2 linked regions of the Bombyx mori genome follow. The protein of the gene in region 1 purifies or fractionates together with the protein of each later gene. This does not show direct contact. Links are inferred from orthologs where the notes say so. Each region holds a gene or a part of one and is shown on either strand. Other genes may lie near its edges.

Region 1 (4,584 bases):
TAGGTGCAACAAGACCCTTCGATATTCGTTCGACTATTCGGCGATAGATGACGTTACTCTTACCGGCGTAACAATATATAAACAATTTTATGTTCTTAGTACTGTGTGTTTTTTTAGACAGCTACAACGTAAATGCGCCACCCACCTTGAGATATAAGTTCTAAGATCTCATAGTATAGTTACAACGGCTGCCCTACCCTTCAGACCGAAACGCATTACTGCTTCACGGCAGAAACAGGCAGGGCGGTGGTGCCTACCCGCGCGGACTCACACGACGTCCTACCACCAGCCTGTCACTGCTGCGTCACTGACCTGAGCTGGTTGACGGCCCGCGCGGAGTCGAACAGGAAGGGCGTCTTGGAGTCGTTGGGCTTGATGCAGCGCACGTAGTGGGGCGTGGTGCGGGACAGCGTCAGCATCAGCGCCGACAGCGACGCGCGGAACTGCCCGCCCACCGTCTGCCGCGCGCCGGACGCGCGCCGCCCTGGTTGCTGGACCGACATTTTTTTTTTAATTATTGTTGGATTATTGTTTTTTTTAAGGGATCTTATGACCTGGTAACTATGACCTTTAAGTCAAGTCTTTAATTTTAATGATTTTTTTTATATGAAAAATAATATTATGAAATGAAATGAAGTTGGTTAATATGAAACATGACATGAAATGAAAAGAAAATAAAATAAAATGAGATGAGATGATATTGGATGAAATATAATCTCAGTAAAATGGTGGTCATTTACTGAGATTTTTTCAGTGGACTTTTTGGAGGTTCCCGAGAAGTTACGTCCAAGCGGCTTTGTTTCATTTTCCCACATTCGCGCACTTTCACAGATACTAAACAGTTAATAAACCACCGTTATTACACATTTAAATCTGAACAAACACCAAATAGACAAAATAAAACAAATCACACAACTTCACACCTCGCGTTCCCGCCAAAAAGTCCTGAAGGTTTACTGGTGGCCCGGAGCATAGACAATATACATAAATTAGTTATAAATAAGCAAATCAAGCACTCAAGAAAAATGATTACGGGCGTCGGCCACTAGATAGCTTCGCTTCGATTAGTTTCTCATTGCTCCTGTAGACGGCAATAACATATTACCTATCCTATGTTTTATTTTTAATGAAGGATTTTGTAAATTTTCAGAAACCACTAATTAAGACCGCCTTTCCAGTTTCACCAGGACAGGTGGGCGAGCAAGGGACTTAGCCAGAAGGGGTGGGATTTGCTAACAGCTGCTCGAGCGCCTCCGAAGGAGATCTAACAACTCAAGAGCAATTGCTCCGCGAATGAATCTACTACCAGATCGGAAACGCGACCCACTGAGAAGATCCGGCGAGAAACTCAGCGGACTGATGCATGGGTTAAGTTGCACATCGAACTCTTTGTAGAGATCGACGAGTACGGTTATCGGGGTCCCTAAGCCTGCTCCTAGTGTTGAGAGTTGTAGAGCTGAAGGGGTCTTATGCAAAAAATCTGTGTAAAAAAATCTATTACATTACAAAAATCCACAAACCACCAGGTTAGGTACCACCACGCTTTTTTTTAACGAATAAAAAAAAAAACTGCCGCGAGGTCATGTAATCCGGTTACATGGGTGGGGCGGGGCATCTATGTACTATCAAACTTGGACTTATTTCTCAAGGTGATGTCCATGGACATTGTATTGTTGATGTCCATGGACTCCAGTAACCATTTAGCCACGGCGGGACCATGACCCCGTATACCTATTTAAGCAATAAAAATAAATAATAGTTTAAAAAAACTGGGTGCTTTTCAGGATATTATCAAAATAACCCTTCTACTCATATTTGTTCATAAAATATTTATAACTACTGATGATACCATGCACTCCACGCTTTTTTTTACAATAAAATCATTTTTCCTTACACTATTTTTAATTCAAATTTATTTTCTATTTTTGAGTTGGATTTTCTATACGTTGGATTTTCGAGTTAATCCGACGTTTTGAAGGGGCTCAAAATCATGTTCAAAGATTGCGCTACACACTAACATACATACGTCTGAAGCTAATAAAAGCGTATCAATAAAATAGCACGTACAGTTAGACTCGTTATCGGCACGGAGGGCGTGGTCCTCCTCCGGGAGGGCGGCGGCAGGGTCGCGGTCTGACGGTCTACCGCGCGCTCCGACTCCAGCATGACGTGTATGAGGCGGCAGCTGGTGGCTGTCCTGATGCACTCCAGCTGTTCCTCCGACACTGTGTCACGATTCTTCTCAAGGAAACCGCCGGACTGGTACTCCACGTTGTCAGCGAAATGCTTTATTATGAAGGCTGTCGGAAGAATCCTGTTCATTTCTCATGATTGAGGGTTTTTAGTCTATAGGAGCGCCTACCGACTAATCTATACATATAAATAAAATTGGATTGTCTGTTAGTAATATTGATATTGATATGAATATATATACGGTACATACACCAAGATAGCATTTTTTTTAATTTTTAATCAGGTAATCTCTGGAACGGCTGGACCGATTTTGACGGGACTTTCACTGACAGGTAGCCGATGATATAAGGAGTAACTTAGGCTTTACTTTTTTTAGACTAGCTTCGCCCCGCGGCGTCACCCGCGGTACAACGGGACATAACATCGCGGGACTCGGCTATCAATAATAAAATTTAATGTTTCCAAAGCGAAGCGAGGGCAGGTCGCTAGTTCAAAATAAATAAGGTTGTCTATCAAAAAGAGAATGCCCTAATATCATGATGTCTATGGACTCTGCTATACATTTGACACTACAAATCGCGGACCCAATCAATACAAGTCTACAGCTTAGAAAGAGCAATCGCATCGCTCTTAGACTTTGAGCATCGTTAATTATTTGTACGCCTTACATTGCGTGTTTACATTGTAGTACGCATTTCAGATGTTTGACTTCTGGAACGGATTGTATACTAAAATGATTAATTTCTAACAATACAAAGCATCAACCTCGTCGTCGTCGTATAGAAGTCGTCGTGGCCCAAAGGATAAGACGTCCGGTGCATTCGTATCTAGCGATGCACCGGTGTTCGAATCCCACAGGCGGGCACAAATTTTTCTAATAAAATATATACATACGTACTTAACAAATGCTCACGATTGACTTCCACGGTGAAGGAATAACATCGTGTGTAATAAAAATCAAACCCGCAAATTTATAATTTGCATAATTACTGGTGGTAGAGGACCTTTTGTGAGTCCGCGCGGGTAGGTACCACCACCGCCCTACCTATTTCTGTCGTGAAGCAGTAATGCGTTTCGGTTTGAAGGGCAGGGGCTGCCGTTGTAACTATACTTGAGATCTTAGAACTTATATCTCAAGGTGGGTGGCGCATTTACGTTGTAGATGTCTATGGGCTCCAGTAACCACTTAACACCAGGTGGGCTGTGAGCTCGTCCACCCATCTAAGCCATAAAAATAAAATAAAAAAACATGCCAGCTACAAACTCGGACCCACCCTGGTTCCCGAACCTCGGCTTCATGAAGTGCGGGTAGGCGGCGCACTTCTGGTGCAGCTTGGCCACGAAGCCGGTGTCGGAGCCCTGCGGCACGCGGCACTCCTCGTCGAGCAGCGCCAGGACACCCAGACGGTCCTCGATCAGGTCTATGCACGGCTGGTTGTCGTAGAAGTCAATCATCTCCCACGAGATCTCTTCCTAAAAGATTCGAGACTTTTAACTTCTTTAGATGGGCAGACACGCGCTGCGACCAGCACCGACCCGACCTAGTCCTGTAGAACTTGGATCCACGACAACTTACCTTTATATATTCGTCCTGCTCGAGTTTGAACACGTGCGAGTTGAACTGCTGCTGGAGCTTCTCGTTCGCGTAGTTGATGCAGAACTGTTCGAACGAGTTGATTTCGAAGGTCTCGAAGCCGTAGATGTCGAGGACGCCTGGAGACGGAGAAAAAAAATACCGAATACGGTTCAGAGCACGGGACTGACGTGATGTGGGATTCCCTTGGACACAGCCCACTGAGTTTCTCGCTGGATCTTCTCAGTTGGTCACGATTGCGATCCGGTAGTAGATTCAATGAATTCTAGCTTAGAGAGTGAGTGATCAAACCGCCTAAACGGGGCGGAAGAGTATCAGAATAGGTGCCACGTGCAGACTTGACTCGACACTTTGAGCTCGTCCACACATCTAAGCAATAAAAAAAAAAAAAAAAAAAGACTGAACTGTTGTCAGATCAGGTGTTTCCCGAGCGCTATGACATGTCCTTCTTCAAACGAGGCTTGTGGAGAGTATTAAGCGGTAGGCAGCGGCTTGGCTCTGCCCCTGGCATTGCTGAAGTCCATGGGCGACGGTAACCACTCACCATCAGGTGGGCCGTATGCCCGTCTGCCTACAAAGGCAATAAAAAAAAAAAAAAAAAAGATCCTGCGTTTTTTCCCTATCTATTCGCTGGTAGCCTAAGCGGACATTCCAGCTACGCTCTGGCTTGTAGACGATCTCAACTGGATCAACCTGAGAGAATTTGCTAGTACCAGCCCTAGCAAGAGCGGTGCTTCGCTGAATCTACTACCGGATCTTCTCAGTTGGTCACGATTGCGATCGCTCTCCAAGCTAGG
Region 2 (5,237 bases), on another chromosome or scaffold:
CACGAAACCTAGCAACAGCAGTGCTTCGCAGAATCTACCACTGGATCGGAAATGCGACCCACTGAGAAGATCCGGCGAGAAATTTAGTGGAGTGTGTCTGTGGGTTCATTTACTCGACGAGCCCTTCGCCGGGTTCGCCGAGTACTAGCGCGGCCAGCACCGGCCAGCGCTGGTAGCCGCTGTGTGGCCTACGAAAGGAAAATATCTCCAAATTGAGATCCTCATTAAAAGTAATAATGCTGTGTAGTATATTTAATTATTACGTTTTGCTTTTTGTCTTTATACAATTATAAATAGATTATAATTTTATCATAAAATCTTAAACAATAAAAAGGCTTATTTTGGGATTCACACTGCCATTGCAGCACTAAACTAATGGAATAACATTCAAGAATGATTCACATAACCTACACCTAATTGATAAATGCATACAAGTTTAGTTGTGGTTCACACAGCGCCTACAATTTTCTGAGATATTCTTAATATTCTACTATCACTTACTTATATTTGTTCACTATAAGTTTACATTTATGTAGCCAAATAAGAATGTTTAAGTATATTTTAATAAATTTTTGTTAACAGTGTCCCATTATGGCTCTAACTGTATGGTTACAGACTTGGTTAGTTTACAGATAAAAGTGCTGCAGCAGATGATGACCTAGAACTCAGCCCTGCATGATGAGGTGAACAAAGTTCTCATAGTTGATATTTCCCTGAGAGTCTTCTTGTCCCTGCAGGAGTTGCTCTACCTGCAAAAATAAATATGTAAGCCTTTTAGATCATATTATATTTATACAAATCAGTAGATTGTTCAATGATTCAAGTATGTAAGAAATAACCTCATCATCACTGAGCTTCTCTCCGAGAGTAGAGAGCAGGTGTCGCAGTTCCGCAGAAGAGATGAACCCATTGCCATCTTTGTCAAAATGGCGCAGACCCTCAATAAAGTCATTAGCAGTGTCGCCACTGCGTGCTTTCGATATGGCCTACAATCACAGAAACAGAAAGGAAATTATTTACAGTTCAAAATAATCTTGGTACATTGTGTAATTTCTTATAAAATATTTCAAAAACTGGACTGGATTGAAATTTAGTAATTTTATTACTAGCAATTTTATTACTATTTTAGAAGTCGTCGTGGCCTAACGGATAGGACGTCCGATGCATTCGTGTTGAGCGATGCACCGATGTTCGAATCTCAGGCGGGTCCAATTTTTCTAATGAAATATGTACTCAACAAATGTTCACGATTGACTTCCACAGTGAAGGAATAACATCGTGTAATTAAAAATGAAACCCGCAAAATTATAATTTGCGTAATTACTGGTAGTAGGACCTCTTGTGAGTCCGCACGGGTGGGTACCACCGCCCTGCCTATTTCTGCCGTGATGGAGTAATGCGTTTCGGTTTGAAGGGTGGGGCAGCCGTTGTAACTATACTGAGACCTTAGAACTTATATCTCAAGGTGGATGGCCCATTTACGTTGTGGATGTCTATGGACTCCAGTAACAACTTAACACCAGGTGGGCTGTGAGCTCGTCCACCCATCTAAGCAAATAAAAAAATAAAAACATTTTACTGTAGCACAACATGGTACAGAATGTACATACATATATTTAAATACATTAACAATATCTATATCATTACATTTTTTTATAAAACACTACTCCCAATTAAGCATTTTAAAGGTTTACTGTCTTTAGAGAAGCAACTGAGTCTCAGTAGTAGTTTAATAGAGAACAACATTGCTTAAAAATTGTCTGGGTGGTAGTGTGAAGCAGTAATTATGTAAGTAAATAAATAATGCACATTGTTATTTATTTTGTCTTGAAAATGCTCTGAGGAGTGGGGATCTGGCATAATCATTGGCATCATTCAATGTGAGTATAATGAGGAACATGTTCATTAGGGCAGGTGCAGATGGCCAACAATTGTTGTTGTTAGATAATTATCTAATTTAGCATAGCATTATAGCACTGTAATTGTCTTTACGAAAAATATTTATTCTTAAGTTTTCTGTGATATAGCATTTTAGTATAATATGAACTTATGAAGACAAATGTTACAAACAACTAGTCTATGAACTTACAGTAATCCCTATAACACAGTACTCGTAAGGTGACATTTGTATACTACTTCTGTACTATGAAATTTATTATGATTTGTATAGTTCATAATTAATTTTCTGTATCTTTACACATTGTGTCAATGGTGCTGTTATAAAATTAAATAATTTTATGATATTTGTTTGACTGAAAAGTATAGAAATAATGAGAAATGTCAAATGTGAATCATTAGTACATAACATATTTTCAAGGGTCATAGAAGTATGTTTTACCAGAGGACTCCTAAAACTCATTTTCCTACAATGCAGAACCAACAAAAAGAGAAGAGAACAAACTTTAGAATTATATTAGGTGAACAAACAATATGGTTACAAAAACAACTTATGGTTGGAAAAAACGAATTTGCCATTACTTTTCAGATTCTTTGTGAAATATACTATATATGTTTTAAAGTATCAAAACTAACAACATTTTGAATACAGTTAAAAGCCTTATATTAGGTAAATACTTAGCTTTTTTCATATATGTACCTGGTAAATTGGCAGAAACACCTCAAAAGATATCCTTTCATCAGGTTTAAGATGAAGAGTACATTTTTTCACATCTGACTCTGTAGGATTTTGTCCTAAAGCTCTTAACGCATCTCCGATCTGAGCGACATGTATCTTTCCATCTCCACGAGAATCGAAGAGCTGGAAGGCTTCTTGAAATTCTAAAACCAAACAATAAAAAAACTTTATTTGAAAGTAATACTAACAAGGGCTAAGGGACTGCGTTACAGATGTTTATATATATTTATACCATCAACTGATGTGAGTTTAAGTTTAGAAGGTGCCTCGTACATGAACATGTTGCGACGCGCGAAACTATACTGCCGTAGCGAAGGTTACCTCAGTGAACACCTGCTAGCTGTTAAACACAAAACCTTATAAGGTAAGTAGGGCGCTTGCAGCGACCGCCGGTTTTTGTAAGGATGTTGATTGACGTGAGTCACGGAACCACGCCCTCCGCGGTTGCTGTTCTACACTGACACTTACACAAAGCACGGTTCACCACCTCTGTTTCTCGTTTTTCACTATTCATTTAAACTAATTGCGGAGTGCAAATAGTGACCCACCTGCCAATTGATCCTCTGAATATCCAGCCTGAAAACATATTTTCAGTGGTTATTGAAAAACATTCAAAGGAATGGAACAATCGTGACATTTACCTACTTACCATATTATGAATCTACAAATGAAATTGAAGGTAATGAAATAGGTATATTTAAAGGCTGCGACTTATCGAAGAGCAACAAAATATAGGCTTTTTTTTGATGATGTCGACGATTATCTAGTTTAAGTGCATTATCTATGTCAACGATGATGGACCACAGATATAAACACATGCGCAACGCAACACTAGGAACGTCGAAAAAAAATACGATAAATCGATATTTTTAAGCTAAATGTCATGTTTCGATTTATCGGTTAAAATTCAAGTACCGAGAAGGTATATACGGTAATACAAATATTTTATTATAGATTCCTTCATATCAGATTTCTCGAGGCGTAGACTTTAAAATTACTCCTACGGCGTTCTCGCGTTTTTTTATGTTATTATATTAGGATAGAAGACTTTACAGTTTTCGTGACGGAAGTCAATCGTCCTTGATCGTGAAATGCAATTTTGTTAGAATAATAAACGAAAACTAAAGGTATTTTATTTTGAAACAATAAATAAATTATCGTTATTCTTAAGTTCAAATGATTATTAGTTTGAAATAATAAAAAAGTCTGTTATGTAATTGGTATTTCTTTAGTATTGTTTTTGAATGCTATTTTTTTCTTTCACGCTACACGGATATATTGATATAGTATTCACCAAAAATGTTAATATGAAAAGAACGTTTACAAAAAAAATCGATTCAAATCTAGCGATACTTTTCGTCTTCTACGTTCCTATTTTTATCCCAACACACTTTGTCATTTTTGTTGGATTTTTGAAGATCTTTTCAAATTAGCCTGTGAAAATCGATGGTCACACATAGTCCTTAGACACAAAACTAGACAAGAAAGTCTTTTTTTAGCTTAGTACATAGTAGTAGCTTTTAAAAATATTATCTCAGACCAACATTTTATGAACAAAAGGCAATGAGGTACAGTAACGCTAGGTATCCTAATATATATTTATAAGGACTATCAAAATTTTATTCCTCTGTTATAAAAAAAATGTGTGCGTGTACTAGTGTACACACGTAAGAAGTGAAACTTATTTATGGCCTTATTTTTCGAAAAATGATCTACATGCAACTTTCTAGAAATTGGTTAAATAAAGTTAAATTAGATAAAGTTTAAACAAAAGGATTTTATTATCATAGACATGAATACAAAAAAGTTAAATTAGATAAAGTTTAAACAAAAGGATTTTATTATCATAGACATGAATACAAAACAGATGGCGCGTAACGGAAAAATGTGACGCGTAACCGAAAAACGTGACGGTAAATTTTTTTCCAACGCCGATAAGGAAGTTTCACTTCAATAAATTACACTCTCTATGTATATTATTAATAACGGAAATGGTTTTCGTTAGAAATCGCATCACTAGAGAACCTAAGTTCGTCAATTTGGTGTTATGAAGGATAGAACTAAGGAGCGCACTCTTGTCTAATGCCGGCCACTGACATGCGCGCAAATATTCGTACATTGTACGAATGTTTGCGCGCATGTGAAGGGCCGTCAAACATTCATTCGAAAACCTAGCGGCTGTGCAAATGGGTTCGCATACTCAATTTGGGAACCCGTTTGCGCTTCCTCCTACACTTGTTTACGAAGTCTCACGAATTTCTCCTCCTTTTTAATTCGTCAATAGAACATTGAAGAGAAAAAGAGTTTTTAATTCTTTCCCAGACATCATTAACAGCCATGCTGTTTTTATGGGATTTCTTTTGATGAAGATACGTTACACAGTAGACGTCACGAACTATGAAAATGGCGTATAGTATACGTCCGTTACCTTCGCAATTGTCGGGGCAACTGGGCAAGCGAATGTGTGGGAGACTACGCGAAGGTTCGAGGTTCGCGCGCTTTGATGTCTGTTAAAAAACCGACACAGCTTGGAAAACCACGAATGCAGCGGAAACTTTGCATAATCATTCGCAAATGTCGTCCTACACTTGTGGGTTTGCGT

The links. The genes of interacting proteins can lie anywhere in the genome.
Region 2: the proteins of unconventional myosin-Va (region 1) and nonmuscle myosin essential light chain purify together in Drosophila melanogaster (affinity purification with mass spectrometry; 3 studies listed by BioGRID, with this or other methods). This does not show direct contact. The link is inferred for Bombyx mori from reciprocal best matches to the Drosophila melanogaster genes didum and Mlc-c.

The regions. Positions count from the first base shown.
Region 1 is NC_085108.1:6,143,513-6,148,096, reverse strand, and holds part of unconventional myosin-Va, read right to left. Parts: intron 3,907-4,584; coding exon 3,770-3,906; intron 3,667-3,769; coding exon 3,468-3,666; intron 2,301-3,467; coding exon 2,068-2,300; intron 492-2,067; coding exon 313-491; intron 1-312.
Region 2 is NC_085118.1:17,553,658-17,558,894, reverse strand, and holds nonmuscle myosin essential light chain, read right to left. Parts: upstream 3,502-5,237; 5' UTR 3,288-3,501; coding exon 3,285-3,287; intron 3,213-3,284; exon of another isoform or gene 3,212-3,212; coding exon 3,184-3,211; exon of another isoform or gene 2,917-3,183; coding exon of another isoform or gene 2,868-2,916; intron 2,779-2,867; coding exon 2,597-2,778; intron 987-2,596; coding exon 840-986; intron 750-839; coding exon 666-749; 3' UTR 239-665; downstream 1-238.